Linked DNA regions of Medicago truncatula. The main gene of each other region encodes a partner of the protein of the gene in region 2 in a complex. Links are inferred from orthologs where the notes say so. Each region holds a gene or a part of one and is shown on either strand. Other genes may lie near its edges.

Region 1 (7,910 bases), on a different chromosome or scaffold from region 2:
GATGCACTGTCACTCTTGACGTCCAATGAAATCTCATGATATTGCCACATAATCTCATTTTGTAACTGCAATTTAAAAATTACCGCATAGTGCTGGATTCTGATTGGATGCCAGTGCAAAACTAGTTTACACTGACGGCGCATATCCCCTTTTCTCATTAAAGAATTTACTCTAAATGTGCTTTCTTAAAATTTAGAAGCTGAATTACTGAGAATTCAGCCTAAAATAATAAAAGAAAAATATACAACATACATTCAATCTTATCATCAATAGGGGCATTTGGATGGAAAACGGATAGGGCACGAGCGAACTCTTCAAAACCTAGTATCCCATTGTGCTTTGTATCAAATAAATCAAATACCTAATAGAGTTAGAGAAAAGCTCGAGTGAGATACCAACCACATGGAATAATAAGAATCGGTCATTAAACATAACAAAGGAACAAAAAATTAAGTAGAAACGATAATTAATCCGGTCCGGAAAGTGATTTTTCTTGAAAATATGTGTGTAAGGGAACATGTGATAAACAAAACATATGAACAGGATAGTAAGCACTGTATATTAAGGAAATGCTGTAGCCAGTGTTGTCAAATAGCGGCTATAGTGAAACGGAATTTTAACAAACTGCTACTATTCCGCGATACACGATTTACTACAAGATGTTATCAAATAGCAGCTATAACAGTGCTATAGGGAATTTGAACAAGCCACTACTTTCTGCGATCTGCAATTGACAAAACTGATTGTAGCACCTTAATTTACATGGTGAAACTACACTAATTTTTCCGGTACACTAACTAACTTGAAATCCTATTATATGATGTTATCTAACTTCTTAGTTACACCTACAAACATTTACCAGAGGTACAAAGTTGAACAAAATTTTCTTGATTCTCATGTTCAATGAACTATTCAATTTATGTTGTCCACACCATATACCAGTGTGCAAAGTAAATTTAACGCTTTCTTGGATTTCCCATAAAATAGAAAAGAAAACATTGTGATAAAAATATCTTCAGCAAGTATAAATCAAAATAAGAACTAACATAATAGCCCGGAGATAAACATATTTGCACAAAACAGATAGAATAGAAGGGAAAGCAGTACCCGATCAGCAAACAAACTTTCTTTTTTATTCGTCTTGAACAATGCCAATTGAAACTCTTCCTGCAAGATGAGCACTAAAATTGAATATAACATCGGATAGATTTTTTAAAACTAAAACCTTTTCAAAGAAGGAAAACAATAAAATAAAAAGAAAAATTGTCATATCATATAAGTATAGACAATGCATACAACTTCAACATAATATGCCAAACCAAACAAAAGTTGTTCAATGACAAAAGAGGACAAACCTTGTTAATCAACCCATCATCAATTACAGCACTGCTGATCTTTTTGAAGAGCTCATACAGTGCTTCTATTTCACTAACACTGACTGCATACATATTCAAAATAAACAGTCATCTTTAGTACAAATATTACATACTCATTTCCAAACCAATAGTGTGAAAGATGATAGAATCAGCAAACAAAGAGATAATCACATGTTCTATGCCGTTTCTTTTTTGTTCTAGTTCATCAACGTTAATTACTTTACCTTAAAATTCAACGGAATATTGCATGATACAGTATTTCAGAAGCAAGTATTCTCAAATCTCAATCATCAGACACTTCACAGATGTTGGCATATTAAAATTCTTTTGTTATCTAGTTTTGCAAATAGTATCAAGTAATGAATCAATAGAATAAAGTAGCATTAACAGCGTACACACTGTCTCCCTTGCAAGAAGTTCAGGATCTTCAAGGCCTCTTGACTGGTTATTTATATCAATGTCACAACAACGCAATACAGAAGCAAGTAGAGACTTGAATCCCTCTAAGCACTGCAACATGGTATCTCTTGCAAATCAGAATTCTCCATAACTGTTCCATGAATAAATCAGTTAGATATTCCCATGTAGTTCATTTATCATTAAGTCATCGTAAGATGGCACTTGAGTGCAAACCTTTTAACCATTTCCAATTTCAGGTGACAATCCCAAATAGCACGATCTGTGAAATTTAAAAAATAAAATCAGAACAAAATTGGAATACATATCTGCCAGTCAGACCATCACATTCTGATATCAGCAGAAAGTACACAAATTGAAAACACAACTGCATAACAAGTTCCATATTTTAACCATGAAATTGTTACATCATACTAAAAGTATCAGCATTCAAAAGCCATGAATTGTACATTGCTCATTTCCTTTCTCTGCGAAAAACATAACATTGTGAGCATAAATTTGTACTCAATGAACCCCCAAACTATTTATACACGTCTATCAACACTCCTTATATTAATTCAGGATGTTTGGTTGTCGTAGTTTTGCCACACGGAACCTTCATATATTCAAGGAATTGACTGATAAGGAACTCCATAAACAACCATACACAAAAACAGCGGCAACTAGAATCAAGGCTTATATTTAAATTAGTGGAAAGGGATGGAATGAAATTATAATAGGTTATGTAATTTGGATTGTTTGAAAGGAATAAAAATAAAAATAAACTATAGAATAATAATTTTGCTATATTCCACTCCATTTCAATCCATAATAAATTCCAAAACACGGGGCAATGCTATGTTATCACATCAAAATTCAAATTCTTGATAAATACTCAATCCTATAAACCACAACAATCACAACTCTCATCATGAACCACGCCACTATAATAGCTGATAGACATGGATCCATAACGCAACACCAAATTCAAAATTCAATATCCACAATCCAAAATGATTCAAAATTCAAGATAATCCACTTTTCACATACCCCTTAACTCATACATAAAGAATTCACCGATCTATATAAACAAGCAAAAAATCAACATGTAGAAAAACAAAAAAGAAAGGAAATTTAGAGAAAAATAAAGAACACCGCATCAAAAAACATGATAAAAACATGCACAGAAGTATGATCAATGATTAATGAGCAATAAGGTGAAGTGGGTAGGGATAAAAATCAAACCTTGATGGAGGTAGAGATGATATGAGCAGAAAACAGAGAAGTATAAAGTGGTGGAAATGGAGTTTTGGATGGTTGGGATTTTGAAGGTTCACAGCAGAGGAAGTGCAGGGGAGGGTGATGAGAATGAGACTGTGGTATGGTCGATGACAGGTAGAGTACAAAGAGTACAACCCACACATAACTTTCACCTCAATTATAGGGTGGCCATCAAGTTATTTTTCAGCATTTGATCAATAAATGTGCCTCTAAATTAAATGAGATATCATGTAATTTATTGTTTGTAAAAAAATAAATGTAATTTATTGATTCAATTGTGTAAGAAAGATTTGGTGTATTTATGATGCCAAATCATTTTACTTATGTTTTGTCAAGTAAAACTTACGTGTAAATGATACTCCCTCCGTCTTAAATTGTATGACGTTTTGGGCATTTCACGTATATTAAGAAATGTAATTAATATTGTGTGGGAAAGAGATATTATGAGTTGTTTTAAAAAATTATCCTCAATAAATGATATGAGAAAGATAAATGAAGGAATTGAAAGAAGAGAGAGTAATAAATAGTTAAGGATATAATAGGAAAAGTAACATTAATTTTTCATTGGTATTGTAAAGCGACATATAATTTCGGACAAATATTTTTTCTAAAGTGACATACAATTTGGGACGGAGGGAGTAAGTGATATTTAAATAACTAAAATGACGACAATTTTTAGGACATTGTATATAAACATATAAAGTGAGTGTGAATTGTTTGGGTAGAATGGTAAAAAAAAACAATAGGAACATGGCTAAGCATGGGGCATCAAGCATTAACAAAGTCTGAGTAACTCATACGGAGGAACTTGCCAAAATATCACATATAACCTAGAAGAACATATGAATTTCGCTGAGAAATTCGAGCAACACTTTCCCTCTCAAAGCACATCTCGGTAAAGACATGTTATGAAGGTGCTCCTTCTGACTAAAAAATTTCACCTACAAAGAAACATATACAAGCATGTGTGAGTGATTTAGATGTTGAAGAATATGGAGTTGTGAAGAATTTATCTTGCAAATAACCTGTTGAATAGAGTCGTTGCTAAACAACATTGTGCATCTCTCTGCTTCCTTTTATCGTACTTGTGGGCTCTAATTGAAACCCATAAGCTTATCACGAAAGGATGTAGTTGGTGTTGATGACTTAGAAATATTAGAAGGTTTTCTTAACACACACACATCTTCCTTTTATCATACTTGAGGCTCTGATTGGACCCATAAGTTTATCACAAAAGGACGTAGTTGGTGTTGATGACATAGAAATATGAGAAGGTTTCTTAACACACACAAGTGTTTTTTATAGAGGTGTTCAAATTCAAGTCAAAACTGCATATTGATAAAAAAAAAATTGAAATCACACAAAATCAAATATATCAAAACGATCAAACAACATAAGTATATTTTAATCCTTAATTTTTATTACATTTAGATTAGATAAATTTTGATAATTGATCCAAACTCCATCGTGAACACACTCAATTCTTTAAAGAAATGCATGTAAAATAAAATGTTGAGTTGAGTCTCCCCCTATAAAATAAATGAAATTGACTTTACCACAAACTAAATATTTTTTGAGTTATGCTAACTTGCGCCCTTAGATACATGTGAGCTTAGCTTAATTGATAGGAATAATGCATAATATATATAATGTCTGAGGTTTGAATCTCGGACACCACAAAAAAAAATATTGTGCCCTTAGAGTACATATTAAAGATTTCATAAATAGTACCGTGAAAAAAGATTTCATAAATAGTAGATATTTATTATAAAACATTAATTTTCATCATCTACAAAAATAAATTATAACAAATTCCACTTTGAACTCTTAGGGTGTGTTTGGTTGTGAGAAGAGAGAAATAGGTGAGAAAGAGTATGTGAAGAGAGAAATATAGTAGATTTGATGGATTGTTTGGTATAAGAGAAATAGAAGAGAAAGAGATGCTACAATTTTTTAAAAAGACAAAAATATCCTTTAATAAAAACATGTAATTTATGACGTTTGCGTTGAATCCACTATTACAATAGTTTTGTCACTACCAGAAAAAATAGTTTTATATATATTTTTGACGTAATGATTTTGTATCTTGTAAGTTGTATACATTAACTCACTTATTTTTTCGTAAAAAAAAATAGTAACTTATTTTTGTCTCAATAAAAATGTTACGGTATGTTGGATTCATCATGTGTTGATATTTCTTTCTTATTATTTTCATACGGTAATATCATGTGCTGGCATAATTAGTTAAAAAAAAAAAAAAAAACTAAACAAATGGAAGAGGAGAAAACAAAGGGTAATTTTGGAAGATACAGAATAAACAAGTCTTTCTTCTCTCTTTCTCTTCAGTTTTGTGAAGACTCCAAAAAGAAATGGTTTCCACGTCTGTGTGTCTCTCTTCTCTAATTCTTTGCTGAACCAAACTAAGAAATACAACATTTCTCTTGTATCTCTCTCACCTACTTCTCTCTCATAAATCACCTCTACCAAACACAGTGTTCGTGTTAATGATGTGCGTGCCAGCACATGTTAGTATTTCCTATATTTTTTAAGGGTTTTATAGAAACTTTGTATTAGAACTTGTACATTCAATATTAAATACTACCTCCGTCCCTAATTATAAGACCCTTTTGAGAATTTTTTTTGTCCCGTTTTATAAGACCCGTTTTCTATTTTCAACTATATTAATTATTTCTTTACATACATGCCCCTATTTATACATATTTTTCTTCAATCAGCAATAAATAAAATGTTGAAAACATAGGCCAACCTTCTTTCTTAAAGGATAAAATTGTAAAAACAATAGTAATTACAAACATATTTAACACAAATATCCACTATCTTAATTCCCATTATTTTTTCAAAGGAGTCTTATAATTAGGGACGGAGGTAATATAAATTTTTTGAATAAATAATTGTTGTTTTTTAAGAAAAATTTACTACTGTTAGTTGTTTTAAGATGTGCAATGTTGCACATGTTAGACAAACCTATTTTTTAAATGAGTAAATAGTCAATTTTCCCCTGAAATTGTAAGTTTCATCAATTACCCCCCTGAAATTAACCAAACTTCAATTACCCCCTGAAATTTCACAACGTTAGTCAATTTACCTCCTCCGTCAAATTTTTCTGTTAGTGAACATGACGTTTTGCAAATACCCTCCCTGAAGTTTTGCACTTATGTGCAAAATGCCCCCCAAACTTAAAAATTTATATTATTTTTTTCTTAAAAACAAACAATTAATATTTAAATATTAAAACTAACTATTAATTTTGGAATTTGGGAAAACTACATGCATATATACATCAAAATAGGCTCCAAAATGGGGGAAAATATGTATTTTTTAAAGTGACAATAATGGGATGATTTGTGGATTAATATTGGGGGTTGTGTAGTTTAAATGGTTTGAGCAAATTGTTGAAGGAGTTGGAGGAGTTAAAAGACTAAGATGGTGAAAGAGAAAATATAAATTTAAATCTGATTATTAATTTGTTTATAAACCTCTAAAAGTAATAATTTGTCTATTAGAAATAACCATTATTGTCACTTTAAAAATACACATTTTTCCCTATTTTGATGTATATATGTATGTAGTTTTTCCAAACTCCAAAATTAATAGTTAGCTTTAATATTTAACTATTAATTGTTTGTTTTTATGAAAAAAGTAATATAAAATTTTAAGTTTGGGGGACATTTTGCACATAAGTGCAAAACTTCAGGGGGGGTATTTGCAAAACGTCATGTTCACTAACAGAAAAATTTGACGGAGGGGGTAAATTGACCAACGTTGTGAAATTTCAGGTGGTAATTGAAGTTTTGTTAATTTCAAGGGAGTAATTGATGAAACTTACAATTTCAGGGGGGAAAATTGACTATTTATTCTTTTTTAAATCTATCCAGGTGGCTCTTTGCTTTTGAACATGTTGAAGATAGAGTCCGACACGTAGCTTCATAAGATCCGTAACCGACCCGACCCGATTTGGGTTTTCAATTTTCGTTTCAGAGATTCAAAAATCAAACAATGCAAATTGCAAACCCTAAAAATCGAATTTCCTTTCCTTGGTAGTTTCTTCCACAGAATTCGCATCAAAGGGCTTCTTCAATCGTGCAGAAATTCGTACACGGAATCGAATGGGGAACCGAAAAGAGCGTCGTCGTGCCGCTCATTCCAACGCTGGTCGCAGAGTCAAACTCGATCTTTTCGCGGAACCCTCAGGTGAATATTGCTCCCTCTATATGTTTTATTCGTAATTGTTTCATTTTATGGATTGATTTGAATTCAGAAACCCTAATTTCGTTCATATCTGGGAATCAACTTGTCTTACATTTTTTTAGTTATGTTCACAATTAATTATGTTATTTTACCAACAAAAAAAAAAAACGATAATCAAATACATTGATGAATGGTTGAGTTGCACTTCATGTGACCAGTAGGTAAAATTGTTACTTGTCAGGCTCCGTTTGGATAAACAACTTATTTGCAGCTTAGAATACAAACACTTATCATGTTAAGCATTTCGTATAGCAAACGATAAAATAAAGTGAATTTGTTTTTCACATAAGCTATAATTTGTTTTTGTAAGCTATCTTGGAGAACTTGTGAAAATAAGCTGAAAACAGCGTATGAACAGTACCATAAGCTGTTTTCATAAGTTCTCCAAACCAGTCTCACAAAACTTATGCCGGTAGATAAGCTCAAATAAGCCAATCCAAACCAAGCCCTTAATGTGAAGAAATGCTTTTATCAAATAATATGCATATGCGAGTGGCTTTTATCTTATTTTGTTTTATGTATGCTTTCCATGATTTTCAGTTTTGTGTTGGACTTTCACTAAGACTTCTAATTTGCATTTATTATCTG
Region 2 (8,239 bases):
CCAGAGAGCTCCAAAATGGTTCGCTTCCTGTACGCTTACAGTTCGCTTGAGCCAAGTTCATCAAATTTCAGAAGATAAGGACCACGTGGCAACTCCTCAATGGACAATGGAAGATTCCCTAGATGTTCGCTTAAGCGAATGTTGCTTTGCTTAAGCGAACGAGCACAAATATGGCCCATATAAATAGTTTTCTCTTCTCTTTCCAACTATTCTTTTACATTTTCTTTGATATTTTTCTGGTTTTTAGAGAGAGACTAGGGCTTTTCTAGAGATAGAAACACAAAGCAAGGTAGTTAGGAGTAGATTCAAGCCAAGATTTGTTGAGACATCATGAATCTTGTCATTGAATCTTCATTTCTTCCTCATCCTTTGCAAAGCTATCATAGACATATGTAGTTATATCTACTCTTGTGGTTTTGAGGTATTCAAACAAGCTATTATGTAATCTTTTGATAATTTAATATATGGTTCTAGCTATTTATTCAATATTGTTGTTATTCTTGCTTTTATTGTTTTATTGAGATTTGAAATGATATGGACACATACTTTTAAATCTAGAAATAGAATAACAATCTATCTTAAGTTATCCCTCTAAACATTGATGTTAATATTTGATAATCACTTTTAATCTAGAACTTAATGCTTTTAGGTCAATTAATCGGTTGGGAAATCATCGATTAAACGATCCAATCAACTTTGTGATCGTTTAAATGTTTGGAAAATCGATGTTTAAACGATCCCTTAGAAATAACGATATCATTTGGACACGAATGATATTGTCGAGTGATTGTGATAATATCGTTTAAAAAGCTAGAATCCGTTAATCGATCGAGAGATTGTAGCTGTTACGCTTGATTGATGTCTCTGAGCGCAAGCGAAATAGTCCTATCTCTTCTCGTTTTACTTTTATGTCGAATAGGAAAATAGTTTTACACAACCAAACAATTTATACTCAAACACTTAATGTGATAAACATTATGAAAATACTTATGAAATACGCAACTCCTTACAAAAACGATCCTATTATACTCACATGTAAATAGTTTATCACATGTAAAAATCTTACATCACAAATACAAAGGTACTTTGTTCACCTCTATATAGATATCGCGAACTCTAACATTCCAATTTTCTAGAAGTAAGTTTTGAATCTTCCTAATCAAGCTCCTACCACCAACGCTTCCAACATCCTCCCTCCCCCCACTAAGACGACTCCTTACCATTCCTAATAGGTCCATATGTAGCTCCACGTAAAAATAAAATAAAAAAATCTCTAGCCCACACTAAGCACTCGTCATGCAATATTTTTTGCAAATCCTTCCGGCTATTTCCCATCCACATCCCTTATCACTCCACAACAATCATTGATCATATTCAATTTCTACGAAAGCACCATCGTTGTTGATGTATGTATGTCCAATCTATTTTCTCTCTAGTAATTGATAACAATGACTTGCAATTTCTACAAGACAGCTCATGCACTCGTCTTAGACCTCATGTAAATATTTACATGCTGCAGAGTTTTACAAGAGAGACAAACATATCTTCAAAACCAGGATCGAATTTGCTTTATGCCTCCATAAATAGATATGGTGGCAAGTGTTATCCTAATCAACTCTCTGCTCAACTTCTCCTTTAAAAAATACATTAATATTCAAATTATTGAAAACCCGCTCTTTAAACTGACTTACCTATAAATCCAACCTCCATTGAATAAGCACCAAGTGGTTCCAAACAAAGCTAGCCAAAGAACAATCATGAAACACATGTAAAACGTTCTCCTCAACTCCGACACAATTATCAAAATAAGTGGTATTTAAAACTCGGATCAAAATAAGTGGTTCAGAATCAAATTAATTTGAATATTAATGTAAAATATTGACCCATCATGACCTACGAAAATAAAACTTTAAATTTAAAATTAATTTAGTTCTTTTATTCCACACTGACTTTATTATTCTTATCAAGAGAGAGAATTTTAGGATCACATCAACCATGGTTGTAATAATCAGAATTTTTTAGTCTAAATAGAAATATACAAATCAAAATCATCTTCCTCTATAAAAAAAAAAAAAAAAAATCATATCTTCCTACTCTTGTTCTAATAATGTAAGGGCAAATGAATCACAATAATTACTAACATTCGAAAGTATTTCAGAAACTCTTTTATGGTTTTTAAATTAAAAAATTATTCTTAATGAAAATAAAATACTTTAATTTTCAATACACCGACAACACTAATCTTTATAATAACATACCATTTAATACACTTACCCTAGAAAAGAAAACCATTTAATACACTTAAATAGTGATATGATTACACTCATTAGCGTCTTCATTTATATATAATTTTGGCTAAAAAAGTCTAGACATAAATGGAGTACAGATTATCAATTCAATATTTTTTTTTATAAGTAGTGACCTAAAGTTTACTATGGCTCTGGATTTGGATTCTCTCCATAGACTTCACTCATTCAATATATATTTTTGACCAAATATGAATATATATTTTTTTAAGGGTTGAATTATCTTATATGTTAATCTTGAGTTTGATTTACTATTTATAAACAAATTAGATGTTTGATTTATTTTTTATAAACGAATTAGATAATGCAGCCCTCGAACAGGGTATATGATGAAATGGTGGATAAAACTTTATAAAAAAAACAAAAAAAAAAAAAATTGAAGGAAAAACTTTATAAAAAATTGTAATTATTGCCTTCGACCTTAAGACCTCGTCTCGAGTTTGATGTGTGTAGCAATTTATAATATTTTAAATTTAAATAATTAATGGCACCGTTGACTCATGAATCCCAATAAATAAAAAGCTGCACGAACGACCTAAGAGATGCCACTATTTTTTAAAATAAATAAGGACTCTATTTGAATAAGAATACGGTATAATTTTTTCTCAAATTTTTCAAAAAGAATTGAATGGATTTAGTTCTCTAATTTTTAAAAGAAACAAATTTCTCGGTCTATGAATAATGAGAGATAGAAATAAATTACACTTTTAGTTTCTTAACTTAATTTCAGGTAACAGTTTCGTCCTTTATCTTTTTTTCATTTCAATTTGATCCTTTTTGTCCATTTTCGTATACATTTTCAAGCTTCAAATCTAATATTCTTATGCAAACATAGACGAGGATCATAGATTTGAAGACTGAAAGACCATAAGAAAATAAAATCAAACTTAATTATTATTATCTTTTTTTTAGGGAATTATCGTTCTTTGTCTAAAGAGAATAATTATTTTCTAAGGACCCGTGAATTTAATAACATTGTTAATGCATGCAATGACGAATTCGAACTTCAGTCACTACACTTATATGTTAAAGGTGAATTTCTAACCACTAAATGATTTGAAAAAATAATCCATAAAAATATAGATATGTGGATTCCCTGAGACCATCCTAGTATGCAAACCGGAAAGACTGTTAGATTTTGAGAGAAAGCGAAAAAAAATTCTCTAGGAGCGTACAAGATCCAAGTCCAAGAATAAAGGAGATATCAAATGATTTAAATCATTAAAAATAATATTTTTTTTAGGGGAAATTCTTTTTTCTGGTTACAATGCTAAAGAAAAAAGAAAAAAAATAGAAAATAAACAATTACAAACTACTCTTCAGGAATGAAAGTCCCAACTGCATTCATCTTTAGGGAATATAAGAGACCATTCAAAGGGGTGGCATGGTGAACCAAATCATGATATGAGGAGGCTCCAAACTTGACCAAAAAATTTGTGCATTGATTTCCCATCCTGAGAGTGTGACAAACAATAGTATTACTTTGTTCCATCAAATACTTCACGTCTTGAACCAACACGGCATAAACATGAAACCTGGGAGTTGGGCCTTTGAGGAGGTTAACACAAAAACGAGCTCTTCAATCCCCAATTTTATTTGCCAACAAGAGACCATGATAAATAACATATATTTGAACGTTCCGAAGGTGTACTGTTACTCTTGCTCAATAAATTTATAAATTAACGATCATTTTATGAAATAAAAAGTTAAAAAAGAGTAAATTTGATTTTGTTGAAGCTTTTGGTAAATAAGATATAATTATTATAAGGGAAATGCTAACTGGTGCCCCCGAGGCACTGGTTAAGGATATGAAAAATTAAAGAAAATTATACAGTAGTTAATGCATTGAAATTGTGTAATTAATTTATAATAAAGTCAAAAGCAGTTTCCTTTTATGGTATGCTTAACCAGTGCTCTGGGGGCACCGGTTAGCAGAACCTTTATTATAATTGTCAATGATAGAAAATAATTTTTTTCTTCAAAAGAAAACTCAATTAATTAATAGTTTTACAATTTGGTGTACCGGTACACTCAAATTTTTGAGTGTACCATTGAATTTGCCAATTTTTAAATATTTATTCAACATTGTTTTTAAATAATCAATTTATTATTACATATTTATATCATTATCTTTATTTCATTTTCCCCTTAAAAAAAGTTCTCTAATTCTTTTTTCTGTTAAGGTGTCTTTGAAATATTTCCAAATGCATTAATTGACTACTTTATGTTTCTATATAAAGACATTAGAAACTGTGTATGCCATACCATCACTCTCACACGCAGACATAAATATAGATTCAATTCAAGAACCGCCTAAACATGTCTATCAAAACCGTGTACTAACAACTACTGGAAAAAAAGATTCATACAAGGAACAAGTTACTAGAACATAAAAATGGTGCTTCCAATGACTATGTGTGGCCAAGAAGAACTTGAATTATCAAGAGATGGTAGTCACTATAGTCTCACAACCGGAATATTACCTTCTCTTGGTGCCAGAAGCAACCGGAGAGTTAAACTCAGACCCCTCATTATATCTCCCTATGATCGCCGTTACCGGTAATTCCTTCTCCGTTTATTCTTCTTTCAACGTTCTTGATAATCTTATTTGAAACGTGTCAGACAGTAAATATATGATTAACCAATTCTTGGTTGGAGGTGCCAACGCTTGTTGACTGTTCTCTTCTTTCTTAAGATTTCACTTTGTTTTTAAGAAACACAATAAATGATATTAACGTTTATAATTAGTCTTTATTAGTCTTGATTAGTCTTCAAATTTTCCAGTATTTCACATTATTTTTTTTATTTTTTTTCCTTTCTTGTGACAGAGTTGAAAGACATGACATTGATTTTTCTGTTGCTTTGTTTCTGACGGAAAATTGTTAGCTGTTAATGTTTCACTTCTTTCATTTTCTGTTTGTATTTGATGTTATTATTTTATTGAATTTTTTCTTCTTGGTCCTCTCTTTTATTCTATTTTTTGAAACCATTCAAGAAATTCCATCTTCACGGATTTCTCACATAGAAGGTTGTTTTATAAATAAATTAACAATATTTTTCTTTATTTTTACTATTTATTAATTACTCTCATTTGTATTCTCATGTTTGTATTCTTCGAAAATACATGCTCATATTTGTTTGTTTTGTTACCCTTTTGAAACATAAACCAACAATTTCTCTTCTTAATGATCCCCGCCGTATACTAAAACAGAAAAGAAATCTGTTTATCTTTCGTTTTCTTATACTAATCTTTTTAATTAACAATTTTATCACTCAATTTTCTCGAAATGTTCTTATTTTGAGATCTATCCAACTCATTTAAAAATTCGGTTTGTTTTGTTCTGTTTAATTTGGTTTTTTTTACTCTTCAAAGGAACATCCAAAAAGTTTACACGTGTTTTTAGTGATCCTATAAAGTTTGACTTTGTTTTCCTTGTATGGGAAACAACCAAGAAGTTGGTGGTGTTTTAATGATGGCTATGAGTTTGTAACGAAAGAAATTTGATGTTGGATTCTCAACTGAAATTCCTAAATTACCCGTTTTGTTCTTGCCTTTGTAACTGCTACTCTGTTTCGTGTAAAGAGTCATTTTCTATGTTTCTCTTATTATGTTCTCTCATGTCAATTTGTTAAAGTGCGGTTTGTGAGTGATTTGTCAACTGTGACTCTCATTGACTATAAGAATTTTTAAAATAATGACAACTTATGCACCTAATGATTTAAGGAGGTTTTAGATGAAAATATGATTTTTAAATGAGTAGTGATATTTTGACAACCATTTTGGTACAACCTTTGATACAACTTTGTTTTTTCATTGGTCAAAAACAATGGAGAGAGAAAAATGTAGAGATAGAATAAAAACATAATGTGAGTATGAGAGAGAAAGTTGTACAAAATGGTTGTACAAATATCATTTCTCTTTTTAAATTCACTTGTATGATTGCTTTTAATTCAACGTAATCAATTAGCAAAGTTTTTTAAAACTCCCCGTCCCAACAGCGGGGGCCCCATTTGGGGTCTCGCTGGCGGGAAGTTTTCCCCCACACGAATTGGATGGGGGAGAAAGTCCCACTAGGTGATTTGGGAAAATATTTATTGTTGTCGCAAAACTCGCAATAATGTCTTAATTTTAAATTTTTTATGATTAAAATTTAAATATTTTTTCTACCAATTTAATTGAATATTATATAAATTTGATTATTTTTAAATATTGATCATGGGGCGGAGACGGAGATTTAGGAGGAGAATACTCCCCAAGGCGGGGAATGGAGTTGATGAGCATTTTGGATGGCGGGAGTACTCCCGCCAGCACCCGTCTCATTGACATCCCTACTTCTCATCTTATTGAACATAAATAACTGCTGCATTTGAAATTTAGAGTTTTCTAAGACTATTAAGTAATTAAAACTTTTTGGCTTTTGCAGGATATGGGAAACTTTCCTTGTTACATTGGTTGTGTATACTGCATGGGTATCTCCATTTGAATTTGGATTCCTTAAGAAACCACAAAAACCCCTTTCTGTTACTGATAATATTGTCAATGGATTCTTTGCTATAGATATAGTTCTCACTTTCTTTGTGGCTTATATAGACAAAACTACCTATTTGTTCGTAGATAACCCGAAACAGATTGCTTGGAAATATGCAAAAACTTGGTTTGTACTTGATCTTATTTCCATCATTCCTTCTGAGCTTGTTGCACATATATCACCTGCTCCTATGCAAACCTATGGCCTATTCAACATGCTTAGGCTTTGGCGTCTTCGTAGAGTTAGCGCTATGTTTTCTCGGTAAGATTGAAACTTGATAGCTTTGGTGCATATGTTTGGATGAGCGATGAGATTGATAAAAAGCAGTGAGCCAGTCACAAATTTTCCACAAAAGCTACACTTTGTAGCTTTGCAAAATCACGGTGGCTCACTAGATTTTTCAATCTCGTTGCTCATCTTAACATGCATTTACTCCCATAAAATCATGTATATATTTTGTTTCCTTTTTGTGTAGTTTATGACCGTAAATGTTGTTTCTTTGATCCTAGGCTTGAGAAGGACAGAAACTATAACTATTTTTGGGTTCGGTGTGCAAAGCTTATTTGTGTAAGTTTTTGAATATATTGTGTTTGTAACCTTTTAAGAAGGAAGATAAATTAGATGTAAATGAGATGGACTAATAATCTGAATGATTTTCATAGGTTACTCTATTTGCTGTGCACTGTGCTGGATGCTTTTATTATCTTCTTGCCGCGCGTTATCATGATCCAGAAAAGACGTGGATTGGCGAATCAATGAAAGATTTCCTTCAGCAGTCCTTGTGGACAAGATATGTTACGACTATTTACTGGTCCATCACTACTTTAACAACAGTTGGTTATGGAGATTTGCATCCGGTGAATGAAAGAGAGATGATCTTTGTCATATTTTACATGCTCTTTAATCTAGGATTAACAGCATATCTGATTGGTAACATGACTAACTTAGTTGTCCATGGCACAAGTCGAACTAGAAAATTTGTAAGTACCAAGATATTTTTTAGTTAGGGATTTCGTGTTTTTAAAATCGTGACACTCATTGTTTGTGACAATTTTCAGAGGGATACCATACAAGCTGCATCAAGTTTTGCTCACAGGAACCAATTACCTCCTCGTTTACAAGATCAAATGCTTGCTCACTTGTGTTTGAAGTTTAGAACAGACTCGGAGGGCTTGCAGCAACAGGAGACACTCGAGTCTCTTCCTAAAGCCATCAGATCAAGCATTTCACATTATCTTTTCTATTCTCTGATGGATAAGGTTTACTTATTCAAGGGGGTTTCAAATGACTTGCTCTTTCAATTGGTAATTGGACCTTTTTGCCCTGACTTGTTATTGTTAGTTACATATTTATTTTCATTTTCAACTTGCATTAATGACTTGTATTTTGCTTGATTCAACTATA
Region 3 (7,923 bases), about 8.0 Mb from region 2:
AAAAGAAAAAGGCAAGAGGATAGCAAAAAAAAGAGGCAAGAGGATATGAATGAAATTTGTGCGATCCATTTTTTTAATATTAAATCAGTGTACAAAATATTTCCTTAAATAAGAACGTGTACAAAAAAAAAGTATAAAATATAAGGCATCAAATGTGATCATTGTTATGCTCATAGTTTATAGAACAAACGTGCAACATCAAATAAGTGTAGAAAATATTTCCTTAAAAAAAAAAGGCAAGAGGATAGGAATGAAATTGGTGTGATGCATTTTTTTAGATTGAATTTGTTAGGTTAAATAACTGCAAACCTAATAAAGCAAATGAGCGGGAAAAAATTAGGTTAAATTGATGCAGACGTAACAAAATTAATAAATAAGGACATATATAGATGATATGCTAATAGTTTACATATAAATATGATATTATAATAAAATGCATCGCACCAATTTCATTTCTATCCTCTTGCCTTCAGTACTTTTTAACCTTTTTAATTTGGAACCCCTGTTGTATTAACATGATTTTGTTGAAGGTAAAAAATCTGCTACATATTATGAGGCAGAAGGCTACACATTCTAAATTGGCAGGATGAAAACTTTTTAAAATTTATGTACTAACATATTATATATTCTCTCGATAACAATGAGAACTTGAGGGATTTTTAGTTCTGACATTTTTTTTTTTTTTAAATCCATTAGACTAATAACTCTATCTAAAAATTTTGTGATGTTTCTTTCAAATCTAAAATTGTGTATGTGTAAAGGTATGTTGGGATGCATAGTATTTAATTTGGATCACATTTGATTGGTCAAATAATATTCTGAGATCACTTACTTCTCATTTGCCAGAGTTCATACATCAATGAGCTTCTTTTAATACTTCAGCTTAACCATATTGATCACTGCTTCTATTTGCTACTTCTGGTAATTTTTAAATCAGTGTAGTTTATTTGCTAATTATATTTGTTTCAAATCCCATTTTGATTAAGTATGTGTCGCGGTGACTGCATTTGTGTTTTTCAGTTGGCGTTCTTTGTGTTTAGTGGTCAAGTGTTTAGTGGTGATATAGAGCACAAACAAGATGGGATTGAATTCAACCAGGAGGGGACAGATGCTGATCAAGACAATGATGATGTTTCCTTGATTGAATTGTTCACACATGATTAAATAACTGAACATATTAGAAGTCTGAAAAAGCAATCTGTTCAGGTTAGTATTCCTCCTTCCTGAAAATTTATGTTGTGTTTTCAATTATCTTGATCTGTTTAGGCCTTGCCCCTTCTTCATCAAGTAATATGAATTGAGTTTTAAGATAGTTTTCTTTGACTACGATATTGTATCAAGAGAACATTGTTTGTCGATTTAATCCCATCTGAAAGAAAGAAGTGTCTCCATGGGATATCAAATCAATATACTACTTTATGTGATGACGATGATGTACATATCCTAATAAATATTGGGAGGTGGTCCTTTGGAGATGCTAATTTTATAAAAAATTATGTTTTTGTTTCAGGTAAAACTTATTCAGAAGACAATGGAATACAAAGCTGTCTGTGGTTAGTGAGACGAAAGCTTTAAGGTTGTGACTAGTGCGGTTTTCAGACAGCAGACTGTTGTGGTTCAACTGTGTTGGCAGTGGTGATGTGCTGCGGTTTGCTACCTATGGTTTTCCTTTTTTAGCTTTGGGAGGGACTGTTGTATGGGACTTTGGTTTTGTTAGGGACCTGTATGGAAATGCACTTATGCGTTTGTTGAAAAGCCTTGAATTGCACTATGAAATTGGAGGGGATTGGAAACACTACTGTACATTTCGGTGGTAATTAAACATCCAAAATCAATTTTAATTTAAAGTATCCAAACAACATCAACTTGAAATAATCACTTTTATATATCAATTCACATCAAACACACTTTTGACTAAAATCAATTATTTTAAACTCAATTATGTCAAAATCAATTATCGTCACCGCCGTACCAAACACACACAATGACTTTCACCACACAAAAAACAAAAAACAAATTGACTTTCACCACACAAAAAAAAAAAACAAATTGACTTTGAAGCATAACTTTCAAATAGTACATCCCTGTGTAATTTAAAACACCATAATTAAGGTTATTTTTTTCCCATACATGTTCTTGTTTTAAAAATGGCTGGCGGGAATGGAGAGTGGATTCTGAAAAAATAACCCCGATTGCCATTAAAAAAATATTTCAATTCCTTGTCTAATCTAATACTCCTAAATTTAATTAACTTATTTTATCTACATCTACAATATCATCATCATCATATAGTAAACCCACCAATGCTGTGATCAGCATGTCCTCAATTAGTGTGTATAAATTAGTATGAGAATAATGTTATAAAAAAATGTATGAGAAAAAACAATTGGTTATTTATTCTTTTGGTTTGATATTAATGTCTGTCAATTATTGTACATACCTTTCAATTTCATATTTAAATTCTTAATAGGTGTTGTAATAAAAATAAATAAATTATGAGTCCTGCTAACCGGTGCCCCGGGACACTGGTTAAGCATATCATAAGAGAGAATTATTATCCTAAAAGAAAATTGTTTTTGACTTTATTATAAATTAATTACACAATTTCAATACATTAACTACTATATAATTTCCTTTTTTATATCCTTAACCAGTGCCCCCGGAACACCAGTTAACATTTCCCATAAATTATTGGTAGGTGCATATCATCATATGATCAAAATCAGAAGTTTCTTAGCACGCGGGTCAGATGGTGACTTCCCAAAGACATTGCATCATTTGCAGGTGAGGTGAGGATATATATCAAATGAATGTTTTTGTGTTGAGTTGATGGACCATCGCATTGAATTAAAAACAATTACACGGATGAAATTGAAATAAAAATATGGTGAAATCAATTTATACAAATTTACCTTATATGCATAACAATAACATGTATTATACTCATGTACTTATTTATAGATGCATCAATAATTTAAAATTTCAACTTAATTATAAAACAAAAATATATAAAATCATTATAATAAAGTGTCATGCTCATCAAACAACATAAACTATCCCACCAAATCATAAAAACATCTAAAAAAACAAAAAATTGACAAGTTTCTAAAGTTCTTTTTTATGGAAAGTTTCTAAAGTTATTAAAGGTTAAAACAAATCAATAAAAAAATTCTTCCAAATTGGGTAAAACTAAAATAAATTAACTCGGGTTAAATTTATGTTTCACTCAAAATTGATTTGACAACCAATTAATCTAATCGAAAATTCACTCTTAAAACTGTAAAATTGGGCAATTTTACATTTTAACACGCAATTTTAACAACAATGATAGACATTGTATCTTCACTAAAAACCTCAAGATATTAGATTTATATGTCGTCTCACTTGTATGTTTAAAGGAGGAAAAAAAAATCATATACATTTAAAGTTTAAATAAAAAAAAAAATGGGACATGAAGATGATTATATATTTTTAGTTGACTATAATGATTGCGTCAAAAAAAGAAGAGACTATATATGAAGACGAGCAAACAGTTCACTTGAAATGCATTATTTCACATGGTGGCATCTCAATCCAGTCCAAATGCACATTCCATTACATGCTAAATGTATTAATTATTCCAAAATTTGTAGTTATAAGAGCCACACTAACTATTGATCAAGTAGGTAGCAAATCTCTGCATATCTACGAGATCAAGAAACAGTTTTATATTTCAGATGATTGAAAGAAATTATTATACACTTCTGATAAGTTTGCTTCAGCGATGAAAATGTAGGAAATGTGCGTCCATCAAGAAGCTGTAATTAGATTGTGTTTGGTTATGCAGTAATTAAAATTAGTTTGATAGAATCGAGTTAAAAAGAACTGATTTTGAATAAAAGTGAATAGAACTAAAGTAAATTTATGTTTAGATACATTCACATAAAATTGGTTTTTATCACAGGAGCAAGATCAAGACCGATCTCTTGCTGCCATAATTCTTTGGAGTTTGTGGAAGAGTAGTAATACCAAGCTTTGGGAGGCTACAAACACTTCACTGACCCTCATTGTCTCTTGTGCTTATGATGTGCTACACGAATGGAGCTGCATGCAACGAGCTAAGCATCCGGCAAGCCCCCAAGATCAGCAACGGACGTGGACCAAGCCACAGGCCGGCCACATCAAATGCAATGTTGACACGACCAATTTCCATAATAACTCTATTATGGCTTATGGTTTATGCTTTAGAGACTCAACATGATCTCTATTATTAATTAAATCTAACTACTTGCACTTATCTTCTGTCTTAGACGCGGAATCCCTTGGTCTTCTCCACTTTCTCAAAATGGCGATATCCAACGATTTGCATAATGTTATGTTTGAAACGGATAGCAAAACTTTGGTAGCTGCGCTTCAAGCTCTCAATGTTCCATGTAATAAATTTGATGACTTGGTATCTGAAATATGTAAGAGTCTCTTATCTAATAATTTCGACTATGTAGTATCGTTTATAAAGAGACAAACAAATATGATATCTTATTATATTGCTAGAACCATATTATCTCATCCTAATCTCATATCTTTCATGACATATCTTCTTCTACTTGATATCCCTTGATTATTAATGAAATGTAGCACCTCTTCTTTGATTTAAAAAAAGTGAGCAGCTCGCTTCAGAAGAGTCGGGTCCGTCTCGAGAGACCTACCTACCTGTTAGTTGTCGTTGCTAGCCAGTGACATAGTGCCACGAGCTATTACGTGATTGTCACAAATTTAAAAACCGATCATCCACTGTTTGTTTTAAATCTAATTGCTGGTTTGCAGTTGCAGCGAGCCCCACAGCCAGGCTCCACCATCGTTTACGTCATGTCAATGTCTCACTCAAACCTCCTACCTCAAACAAAATAACATTATTCATTATTCCATCTATCTAATCTATCCATTCTAGCAGTATTCATATACTAACCAACCAGTATTATTATATTATCAATCACTCACACACACACACACTGTCACACATAATAATTAACAAAACAAAATAGGTTTGTCTTCTTCTATGGCGAGCAGCACTGCACACCATTCATTCATTCATGAATCAATCATGATTCAAAGTATTTCTCTCGCGGTTTTGGTTTCCTTTCCTAATCAATCATGATTCTATGTCTTATTATTATCATTTATTTAATACTTCTGAATTAAGAAATGAGAATAAAGTATATCAATTAAATAAAAATGAAAACAAACAAACAAACAAACCAAAAGAAAAAGACTGATTCGGTTTAATTTCATCGTCGCATAAAAAAAAAAAAAAAACGGTTGAAGCGGTGAGAAGAAAAGACAAGAACAATGGTCCATACACGTGTCCACCATCACCTAATCTGTCTTTGAGAGAGAACCGTCAGATCACCAATCAATTGAGACAATGAAAACGAAAGCAGAGACCAACCAGCACCGCCGTATTATAAAACCAAACCTAATATAAGTCAGTAATAATATAGAATTATTGTCGAAACCAAACACAATTCTTCAACCCTTTCTTAACCAATTAAATCATTCTTCATCGTTTTCATAATTCTCTGTATCTGTCTGTCTACAGCGAAGGAATGCAGAGAGATGAGAGGCCATTGCTATCGGTTCTCTCCATCTGAAGTTGTAAGCATTCTTACAAAACGAATCATTGGCGGTAGACATTGCCACCGCAAACACGTTGAAGACGGTTGATCTATTCTCCATCTTCATCTCTTCTTCCTTCATATTTCTTCTATTACTTTGTAAATACTAACTATGTGTGAAAAGGAAAACCCTAACTCTCACTCGGCTCTGCTCGATGGAAAATACGAGCTTGGTCGAGTACTCGGTCACGGAACATTTGCTAAGGTTTACCACGCCAAGAATTTGAATACTGGAAAAAACGTAGCCATGAAAGTAGTTGGTAAAGAAAAAGTGATTAAAGTTGGAATGATTGAACAGATCAAAAGAGAAATCTCTGTCATGAAGATGGTCAAACACCCTAACATAGTTCAACTTCACGAAGTCATGGCTTCCAAATCAAAGATCTATATCGCCATGGAACTCGTTCGCGGTGGAGAGCTTTTCAACAAAATCGTCAAAGGTCGACTCAAAGAAGACGTTGCTAGAGTCTATTTCCAGCAGTTGATCTCAGCCGTTGATTTCTGTCACAGTCGCGGTGTTTACCACCGTGATCTCAAGCCGGAGAATCTCCTCCTCGACGAAGACGGTAATCTCAAAGTCTCTGATTTTGGTCTCTGTACTTTCTCTGAACATTTGAGACAAGATGGATTGTTGCATACCACATGTGGTACTCCGGCGTATGTTTCGCCGGAGGTTATCGCGAAGAAGGGTTACGACGGTGCTAAGGCTGATATTTGGTCTTGTGGTGTTATTCTTTACGTTCTTCTGGCTGGATTTTTACCGTTTCAGGATGATAATTTGGTTGCTATGTATAAGAAGATTTACCGCGGTGATTTCAAATGTCCACCGTGGTTTTCTTTGGAAGCTAGGAGGTTAATTACAAAGCTTCTAGATCCGAATCCGAATACAAGAATATCCATATCGAAGATAATGGATTCTAGTTGGTTTAAGAAACCGGTTCCAAAGAGTATAGCGATGAGGAAGAAGGAGAAAGAAGAGGAAGAAGATAAGGTGTTTGAATTTATGGAGTGTGAGAAATCATCGACGACAATGAATGCTTTTCATATAATTTCACTATCAGAAGGATTTGATTTGTCTCCGTTGTTTGAAGAGAAGAAGAGAGAAGAGAGGGAGGAGATGAGATTTGCAACGGGTGGGACGCCGAGTAGAGTGATATCGAAACTGGAACAAGTGGCGAAGGCGGTGAAATTTGATGTGAAGAGTAGTGATACGAAGGTGAGACTTCAAGGGCAAGAAAGAGGGAGGAAAGGAAAGTTGGCTATTGCAGCGGATATTTACGCGGTGACACCGTCGTTTCTGGTGGTGGAGGTGAAGAAAGATAAGGGTGATACTTTGGAGTATAATCAGTTCTGTAGCAAAGAGCTTCGTCCTGCTTTGAAAGATATTTTCTGGACTTCTGCTGACCCTCCAGCTGCTTGATGAATTTTTTCATCATTAATCATAATGTTTGTTTAATTTACTTATGTTATGTCTCATTCTTCTCTTTGTAATAATTCTTGTTTAGGAGGAGCTTCATGTGTTGTTTTAATTATGTATGTTTCTGCTTTTGTATCTTAATCGACTAAAAATTCCTTGTCTTGTTTGTGTGTGATATTAATTTTATGTATAATAATTGGTTTTTATTTTTGTTTGTTTTAGTAACATTTTGCTTCATCCGTCGTCTAGACTTGATATTATTGAGGAATTTGATTTACTTGCTTCAACCCGTGAGGGATTGCATCAACTTGCTAAAATATCATAATTTTGCTTCATCCATATACAATCAAGATTATGAGGAATGAATTATTGGTTTACACCACCACCATCCCAAATTCCCAACCCGTGAAGGATTGCCTCAACTTGCTGAATATCATATTTGAGAGGCTGCATTGAAGAGCACATGGATGGGACCAAACTCACTTTGAACATGTGCATGTCATTTTCTTCAACCATAAGTTTTGTGGTCTTGATGTTTTTGATTAAAAAAAAAATTAACTGTTTCTTTGATAACTTTTTAGTTCACAAATTTTATTACTCCATTTAAATGAATTATAAAAATATATATATATATTGAAAAAACATTAAAGAAAAACATCAATTTTTTATTTTTTTTTGAAAGAAGATAAACATCAATTATTGAAAGTCGAGAACTATACAATTATTGAACATAGTTGGTGAAGAAGAAAACATCAAAGAAAAACATTTGTGGTCACTGCATTATTTGGTACTCAGCTTTCACAGCTTTAATACTTGTATTTATGTGCTTTATATGTAGGTGAAGAATGATAATGA
Region 4 (8,485 bases), on a different chromosome or scaffold from region 2:
AACACCTCTACTGTGACAGTAATCCACAGCACATATAAGCTGCTGAAAATATTTTCTTGCTTCATCTTCTTTCAACCTCCCACTGCGAGCCTGTCTCAATTTAATAACAGAAAAAATCAACAAAATAAGAGGTAATAGAAGGACAACACTAATATAAGGAATTTAGGCCTTCAAAGCACACACGAAGGTAAAAACCGCCTTACAATTTTATCAAACAGCTCCCCACCAGTCACGAGTTCCATTACAATGAATATCTTTGACCTGTTAGCTATTACCTACACAAGGAATTTGTAGTTTACAATACAGAGAGCAGTTAGAAAAACTGAAAGAATAAACTGGGAAAATATGAGAATAGAAGCAAACCACACAAATGTAAAATACATGGAAGCAATCATTTACTGCCTACTAACCTCATGCATGCGTATGACATTTGGGTGTCTAATCAGTTTCATTGTTGATATTTCTTGTTTTATCTGCATAACAGTGAACAACAGAATATCAGCAAAGACTAGAGTATTTATGCTTCAGAAAAACAAAATAAACCCCAAAATTTAGCAGAAGTTGTTCATACTAAGATTTATTACGGTCAAGCAAACCATGCCTACGCGAGGAGGATTTCAACAACAATGTTTCATTGAAATGTAACTTCAAAACTATAGACTACTAAACGTTTTCTCAATACCACACAAAACACAGTTTAAACTCGAATAGCTGCCATGTTTAACTGTTGCCAACACATAAAATAATTAGAAAGCAAGTAATTAATTAATAATATTAAGAAATGTCTTACAAATAATTATATGAGATATAATCAATCAAACAAATACTTTATATGATTAATCAGCACCTCATAATAAATGGCGACTGAGGTGGAAAAGTGAAAAGAACCATCCCAGAAGCATAGACCACTTTTGCTTTGGTCAGAATGATGAGATAAATAAATAAGGTTATGGTTAATGAGGGGTAACCTTGGCCCAACTGGTAAAGTTGTTGTCATGTGACTGGGAGGTCACGGGTTCAAGTCCTGGAAACAGCCTCGTGTAAAAACAGGGTAAGGCTGCGTACAATACACCAAATGGTGGGACCCCTTCCCGGACCCTGTGTATACAACAACAACAACACCCAAGCCTTTTCCCACTAAGCCTTTTCCCGGACCCTGCGTATGCGGGAGCTTTAGTGCACCGGGTTGCCCTTTTATGGTTAATGAAATGGCAAAACAGACTTCGGTTATTCATGTTCGTCCCTGGTTTGTACTGTCATGGATATGTTTCATGAAGACCCCACTAGTTTCTTTTAATTGAATGATGATGGCACCCATTAGTTTTGTTTCCTTCACAGCAATATTCAAACTTCTAGATTTTTCTTTTGTCAAAGTTTAAGTTATCAGAGACACTAGCAAGTAACTGAGAGTTTCGATGTAACATCCAACACGTTTAGGGAAATGTCTTAATAACTAACATCTTTTTCCCTAATTTTATTCATATTTTTAAGCTAAATTCTGATGGGAAGTTTGAAAATCCAACACACTTTCTCTAAGTCCAATTTCATTATTCTTGACATGTTTATGATTTCCATGCCTCGTAAGTCAGAAAGTGTAAACTGTTTCTTTTTTGCCTAGTAACGAGGATACTGATGAGAAGAAGAACCTTTTTGAAGTTTTATAAAGAACAAAGGTATAAACAAGAAACATTTTTGCGGCTATCAGCAGTGTATGACGTCTCTTGGTTGGAGCACAATGTTATCACCTTTGTCAGTTTCGTATACGGATATTCTTTTGAATTCTCTTCAGTAATCTACCCAAGAATCAAGACGCATTATTGTTTCAACAGAGATAATCTCATAAATTTCAATGACAGAAAACTATTCCAACGAGAAAAATCAGATAATAACATTCCCTACACATAACACTAACAGAACTTGACACCAAAACTAAGAAAACAAAAAAAGAAGTCAAACTCTTTAGTGTCTCCAATGATGATCCGTGTTCGAATCTCAACTCTATCTTGGTCAACCCTAGTATTCCACACTTAATCAATTCATTTTCATATTTACATTTATTTTTTATTTATTAACTTTCCAATGAATAAGATCATGGTTCTTGTGGAAGAACAGTTCTTTCAGTTGACATCCACAGATGAACTTGCTCCAGTAGTCAAACCGGAAAAGAACAAATTATCATCGGTAGGAACCCATTTAAGAGCCACAACCAAGGATGGCTAATTCAATGAATTTAAAAAGTTGTTTTTCTTATAAATATGATCGGAGGGAGTATCTATTAAGCCTCTATTTGGTTCTGCAGCAAATTTTCCCGTTAGCTCAAAACCTCGACAATATTTTCAGAAGCTCTATTTTCTAGATTCTAAAAATCACGGCAACTTTGCATTGATATCACTGCAAACGTATATATTCGATTATCAAACATGCAACCAAACAAGTACTAAGTTTGTTCTACAACATCTTTTCTTACCAGCCAAGAAATAAAAAAATCAAACCAAAAACACACAAAATTAAATTAATAATTCCATTAAAATAAGTAAATTAATAGTCAAACCCCAACACCAGCTTAAAAACTAAACAAAAAGATAAGTTAATAAACAGTGGTAAATGATCAATTAACATCTCTAAACGAAGATTAGTCAACGCTTACACAACAACAGTAGAAACTTCGTATCTATAACATAATAACCCAGAAAGCTAAGATATAAAAACAAATAATTGATTTAACAATTAAAACAAAGAATTAACCTGACGAATCATTTTATGCTTGAGAATTTTCTCTTTATCAAGTATCTTGATAGCAACATGATCACCAGTTTCAATGTGTCTCGCAAACTTCACCTTCGCGAAATTACCTTCACCTAACGTCCTACCCAGCTCATACTTTCCCGCCTTCGCTCGTCCGCCGTTGCTGCTTCCTCCGCTGATATGCGACGAACGTGACGTCATCTTTTTTTTCTCTCTCTCTTTTTTCTTTCCTTTTCTTTCCTTCCTTTTTCTCTCTATATTCAAACTATTTCACTATGATTATATGATTATATGATTATATATTAGAGCCTCTTCTTCTTACAAGGTTGCCACACTTGAGATTTTGGGAGTCTCATTTTTTCTTCTTTCTTTCCTTTTTTGTTGTTTCTTCTCTATCCAACCAAACAAAGGAATCAGAAATGGAAGAATCTAAAAGATTTAACGTTTGTGATTGAGGTAAATGGTCGGTGGTTGATCGTTGACCGTTGGATCAAAAGAGAAAATCATGATGATGTTTCAGCTGTGTGGAATAAAAACACAAAACAAGGGGAAGGAATTGAGAGAGAGAGAAATAATACTAAGATTTTGATGGTTTTGAAAGAAGAAGAAGAAGAAGAGAGAATGGTCAATGAAATGAATGAATGAAATGAATAAGAGGTTTATGTGAGGAAGGCTCATCTAGCAAGGTCACATGTGTCATAATTGTCAAAATCGAATATGCCATTGGATTTGGATTTTTATCTTTTCAATTTAATGCAGTTGGATTTGGATTTTGTCTTAGGTTGCATTGAAATTATAAAATTGTAGTAGATCCTCCGGTCACTAATATAAGCAAAAATATATTTTTTAAATATATTCAATTAATGATGTATATAACATATAATAAAGACCACATACATCATTAACTGAATGTATCTAAAAAATTAGATTTTTGCTTATATTAGTGAGCGGAAGGTGTATTTTTTTACTACTATATTATAGAACACGTATTCCCATGACAAATATATTAATATTTTTATTTTTATTTTTTTGATATTAAAATATATGTTTTTTTTTTCTACAATAAAATAAAATATAAGTATTTATAATATCAATCCACCCATTCTTCAACAAAGAAAATATCATTCCGCCAATGAAAGTCTTACCAATGTCTTATACCAAGATGCGGACCATTGAATCCAGCAAACAAAACCAGTCCAAATGAAAAGCAAGACAAAACAAAACACATGGGTCATTGATTTTTTCTTAAAAAAAATAAAATTATACCTATTCTTTTTAGAGGAACTACTTACAAACCCGTGCTTCAGCACGGGTTGAATAACGTATCTTGTAAAACAATTGTACAAAAGGAAAAATGAACAAATTATGGAAAATAACTACATATTTCTACAAATTTCCTACCTTTTAATTACAAAGCTTTGATGCATTAGAAGAGCATATCCTAATTAGGAAAACAACATTATAATTAGCATGTTTTTAATTGGAACCAATGAAGGGACCAACGATATGTCATTACATAATAGGCTTAATTACACTTTTGGTCCTCGTGTTTTGGCCTACTCACGAAACTGGTCATGCCCTTTTAAAACAGAACAAAACGGTCCTTCAATTATCATTTTTGTTGCATTTTTCGTCCTACCCCCCATTTTATTCTCCAAAAACGCAAAGAAATGATAGTTTTAGACCTAACCTCTATGCTCAACTATGAAATAAACAAGGAATAAAGCATGTGGGTACAAAGAATTCACTTTATTCAACACACTAACCAAAAAAACCCTAATTTCTAAGATATGTTTCAAATTATGGTTTTTTTTTTTTTGTTAGTGTGCTGAATAGAATAGATTCCTTGTGCCCACATGTTTTATTCCTTGTTGATTTCATGGTTGAGCATAGGGGAAGGTCTAAAACCGCCTAAAACTGTCATTTCTCTGCATTTCTAGAGTTTGAAAATAGGAGGTAGGACGAAAAATGCAACAAAAATGATAATTGAAGGACCGTTTTGTTCTGTTTTAAAAGGGCAAGACCAATTTCGTGAGTAGGCCAAAACACGAGGACCAAAAGTGTAATTAAGCCTACATAATAAGTGAAGATTTATCAAAAAGAGACTAACCAAAAAGGGAACTTTGCCAAAATTTACATCAGTCAAAAGGAAACAAAAGAAATGGCATCCCTACAATAGAAACTGATGAGCATCTACAATAGAAACACCACTCTTAAATACTCCCTCCGTTCCAAATTGTATGACGTTTTGGCCATTTCACACGTATTAAGAAATGTAATTAATATTGTGTGGGGAAGAGAAATTATGAGTTGTTTTACAAAATTATCTTTAATAAATGGTATGGAAAAGATAAATGAAATAATTGAAAGAAGATGAAGTAATTAATAGTTAAGGATATAATAGGAAAAATAACATTAATATTTCATTGGTATTGTAAAGCGATATATAATTTGGGACAAATTTTTTTTCCAAAGCGACATTCAATTTGAGACGGAGGGAGTATAAAATTTCTTTATACTACATCAATGTTTACTAATTTAACTTATTCCAAAAGTGAATGTAGAGTAATTTACTCATTTTGAAAGTAAACTAATATGTTTGGATCTGCTTATGCAATTCATTTATCACTTTTCAAGACACATTCTTTCTCTTTAAGGCCTAAGAAAACTCATCATGTTCAAAAGAGGCTAGATTGGACAACCCCATCATCCCAATATCTTGTTACACTACCTAGAAGCTGAACCCTTGACCTTCTCAACTTGCTCTTCAATTCGGGCAAACATGGCCTTCTTCTCTTCGTCATTAGCAGCTCCAAACTCCTTTACCAATTCGTCCAAGTCTTCCACTATACCAGCCTATATAGAAATATCAAGTGTGAGCACAATGCTAAATGCAACAATTTGAACTCTTTATTTCTAAGTATGATTATTCCTTTATAACAAAATATCTAAAATTTGAAGTAACTTGTGAAAAGCCAATAAATTTAGCACATTAGTATTCTAAATGTGGTGGGAAATAAGTCTCAATGCTGCTACATCCATTATGCATACGAAAATACATTTCAAGGTTGTTGAATTAGTTTTTCTAATAAAATGGTGTGATTGGACCGTATGAGAACTACTTTACTTAGGGTCTATTTGGTAAAGCCATCAAACGAGCTTATAGCTTATAGCTTATAAGCTCGTTTGAGATGCATCTTGTGTGACATGCATAGGAACACTCTACTATATTAGTTAGTGCACATAAGGTTTAGCATTTTCCTTTCCTAACATAGTTGCAACTTGCAAGCATATGCTATAATATCAATATCCTTGATCTCCAAATAACCCAATCTTCCGTGAATATTATAAACCAAAAATTATATATAGATAGTAGACTTCAAATGAGCAAATTAAGGGAAAAATATGCAGGAAAGAAGTATTGCACACGGATGATTAATTTTAGGACGCACATGTCTATTTAAAAATATCACCAAATATTTTTGTTTTGTGTTAACCTCTGATTTTTAAGGGAAATGAGACCGGATAATTTGGAGTTCAGTCGGAAGGTAGATAAAAGTCTGACCAGTAATTTTTTTTGGTGAAAGTCCAGACAAAAAAATTTCACCCAAAAATCGAACTCAAATTCATCTGAACAATTCGTCATTTGTTGCCACTCATTAACCACGTGAGTCTAATTGTTCGGTGTATCACAATTTTTTTATAAAAAAGATACAATATTTAGATAAAAATTTCCTTATATTCACCTTAAAGGCATTAGGGTTCTACTTAACCTTTCAAACGGATTAGAAAATAGAAAGCAAAATGGAATTCATCAGACATCAATGCCTATCGGCTTAACATTTTTTACTGGTGCTGCATAAGAGTGATGAAATCAGATATAGTTGCTCACGGAAAATTGAAAGAAAGTTATATTATCATTCTTCTCAAAAATTGAAGAATAAGATCAAAGATAAATACTCAATTTATATAGATAAATGTTCCCTAATGAAAACTATATTACTTACATTTAAGGCACGAATGTTGAGAAAGAAAAAAAACAACACAGCACGATAGTCATTATTATTTATGTTTAGAAATATAGTGAAATATTTAGCCAAGCAATGGTTGTATATGTCTTATAGTTATATATATATAAATTGTAAAGAAATTTCATAGCACAAACACGGCCGAATCTTCAACCTAGATAGACTTCACTAAGCTGTATATACATCATGTGATTTGTGAATCTAATCTAACAATCACCAAATGAGTAAAAATCAAAACTATTCTGAAATATCAAGAGTGCAAAAGCTAAATTAGATAAATAAATATTAAATCAACCAACAATATCACACTGAAACCGTATACTTCAATGTAGAATACATCTAACAATGAAAAATTAGATAAATCGCAACATTAAAGGACTATATTAGAAATTGTCAAAACTAACTACAATTTAGATTTATGATGCAATATAAATAAAATGTACAACCTGAAATATACTGAGGGAAAATGTTTCTAGGAAAATTCCACATATGATATTATCAAATAAGAAGCCTGAATTAATTTAGAGTTCAAAGCAGTGGTAAAATGATTGGTCGAGTTTTAAAAGCCATATACATTAAAAAGTAAATCATGTGCTTTTTGAAAGTAAAACATAGGAGAATGGGATCTGTCAAAGATTCCTTGCTGTCATTAACATTTGTAGCTGCTGAACAAATCTTGCTTACTTTTTTGCTACAATGTTCACCATGATATAAGAAACATAATTGCAGATTCACACATTAACATCAACAGTACTTCATTTTCTGCATGTATGAGTGTCAAGGCATGGCAGAGCATTTTGAATATGAATCAAATAAAAAAAAAACAATAAGATGAAAAATATAATCAGTCAAGATGAAAGAAACATTAGTATGACTGTGAAGGCATGGCAAGGTAGGACATTCATGAATAGTATATGCAGAGCTCTTGACACAGTTTATCCCAAAATATATTCAATTAATTGCTTGACTGATCATCCAAGAAATTACCATTTCAAAATTGAACACAGTTATTTGCATCCATTCGTCTTTATCTCCAAGTATTGTCCTTATTTTCAACATAAATAGATCAAAGCATATATTAATAATAGAGGCTAATCCCAAGCACAAGATGTATTCAAGGCTAACCAATGAAGATTCAAGACATGCAAATCACATTCTTTCCCAAATCTTTGCAATTTTAGGGGTTTTTTTAAGTAATTCACGAAGAAATCATGCAAATGAAGAACAACTGAAGAATTGTCAAGACCTTGGGAAGACAAAGAATGAAGATTCAAGAGGCCTCAGGAGACCTTACATAGGAAGGAATTTTGTTTCCAAGTTCCGAGTCAAATTATTTCAAGACGAAGACATAAAAACGACGAAGATCGAAGAAACTGGGCCCGAAAGCACAATCAAATGCGCCTAGGGCATGGAATTGCATTACAATGCACCTGGGGAATCAAGAATGCGCCTTAAGCATTTCTAAGAGGCAATATGCGCCTCAAGCATATACTATGCGCCCCAAACATCTTAAAATGCGGGGGCTCAGGGTTTAGCCCGCGTTTTTAGCCCAAACCCAATTAGAAATCTCCACTCTAAATACTAGCCTTCCTCATTCAAAATATCTCGTTGAGAATTGTGGCAGTTCAAGAGGAAGGCTACTTTGGAGCTTCGGAAGAGAATATATCTTCTCATTGCTTTTTTAGGGTATGTTTTTATCTTTAGTAATTTGT

The links.
Region 1: potassium channel AKT1 (region 2) and calcineurin B-like protein 3 share a complex: the UniProt entries of both Arabidopsis thaliana proteins name them as parts of the K(+)-channel calcium-sensing kinase/phosphatase complex. The link is inferred for Medicago truncatula from reciprocal best matches to the Arabidopsis thaliana genes KT1 and CBL3.
Region 3: potassium channel AKT1 (region 2) and CBL-interacting serine/threonine-protein kinase 6 share a complex: the UniProt entries of both Arabidopsis thaliana proteins name them as parts of the K(+)-channel calcium-sensing kinase/phosphatase complex. The link is inferred for Medicago truncatula from reciprocal best matches to the Arabidopsis thaliana genes KT1 and SIP3.
Region 4: potassium channel AKT1 (region 2) and CBL-interacting serine/threonine-protein kinase 23 share a complex: the UniProt entries of both Arabidopsis thaliana proteins name them as parts of the K(+)-channel calcium-sensing kinase/phosphatase complex. The link is inferred for Medicago truncatula from reciprocal best matches to the Arabidopsis thaliana genes KT1 and CIPK23.

What each region holds. Positions count from the first base shown.
Region 1 is NC_053044.1:27,320,572-27,328,481, reverse strand, and holds the start of calcineurin B-like protein 3, read right to left. Parts: upstream 3,203-7,910; 5' UTR 3,018-3,202; intron 2,056-3,017; exon of another isoform or gene 2,010-2,055; intron 1,927-2,009; 5' UTR 1,896-1,926; coding exon 1,772-1,895; intron 1,439-1,771; coding exon 1,356-1,438; intron 1,168-1,355; coding exon 1,108-1,167; intron 362-1,107; coding exon 253-361; intron 1-252. Other genes in the region: uncharacterized protein, read left to right, coding at 7,181-7,265. UniProt on the Arabidopsis thaliana protein: Acts as a calcium sensor. CBL proteins interact with CIPK serine-threonine protein kinases. Binds calcium ions. Binding of a CBL protein to the regulatory NAF domain of a CIPK protein lead to the activation of the kinase in a calcium-dependent manner.
Region 2 is NC_053045.1:54,795,395-54,803,633, reverse strand, and holds the start of potassium channel AKT1, read left to right. Parts: upstream 1-4,554; 5' UTR 4,555-4,701; coding exon 4,702-4,865; intron 4,866-6,730; coding exon 6,731-7,096; intron 7,097-7,344; coding exon 7,345-7,402; intron 7,403-7,497; coding exon 7,498-7,815; intron 7,816-7,893; coding exon 7,894-8,139; intron 8,140-8,239. UniProt on the Arabidopsis thaliana protein: Highly selective inward-rectifying potassium channel that mediate potassium uptake by plant roots in response to low K(+) conditions, by a calcium-, CBL-, and CIPK-dependent pathway. Positively regulated by phosphorylation by CIPK23.
Region 3 is NC_053045.1:62,829,738-62,837,660, forward strand, and holds CBL-interacting serine/threonine-protein kinase 6, read left to right. Parts: upstream 1-5,452; 5' UTR 5,453-5,763; coding exon 5,764-7,071; 3' UTR 7,072-7,278; downstream 7,279-7,923. UniProt on the Arabidopsis thaliana protein: CIPK serine-threonine protein kinases interact with CBL proteins. Binding of a CBL protein to the regulatory NAF domain of CIPK protein lead to the activation of the kinase in a calcium-dependent manner.
Region 4 is NC_053043.1:21,923,851-21,932,335, forward strand, and holds the start of CBL-interacting serine/threonine-protein kinase 23, read right to left. Parts: upstream 3,361-8,485; 5' UTR 2,947-3,360; coding exon 2,746-2,946; intron 474-2,745; coding exon 411-473; intron 276-410; coding exon 204-275; intron 91-203; coding exon 1-90. UniProt on the Arabidopsis thaliana protein: CIPK serine-threonine protein kinases interact with CBL proteins. Binding of a CBL protein to the regulatory NAF domain of CIPK protein leads to activation of the kinase in a calcium-dependent manner.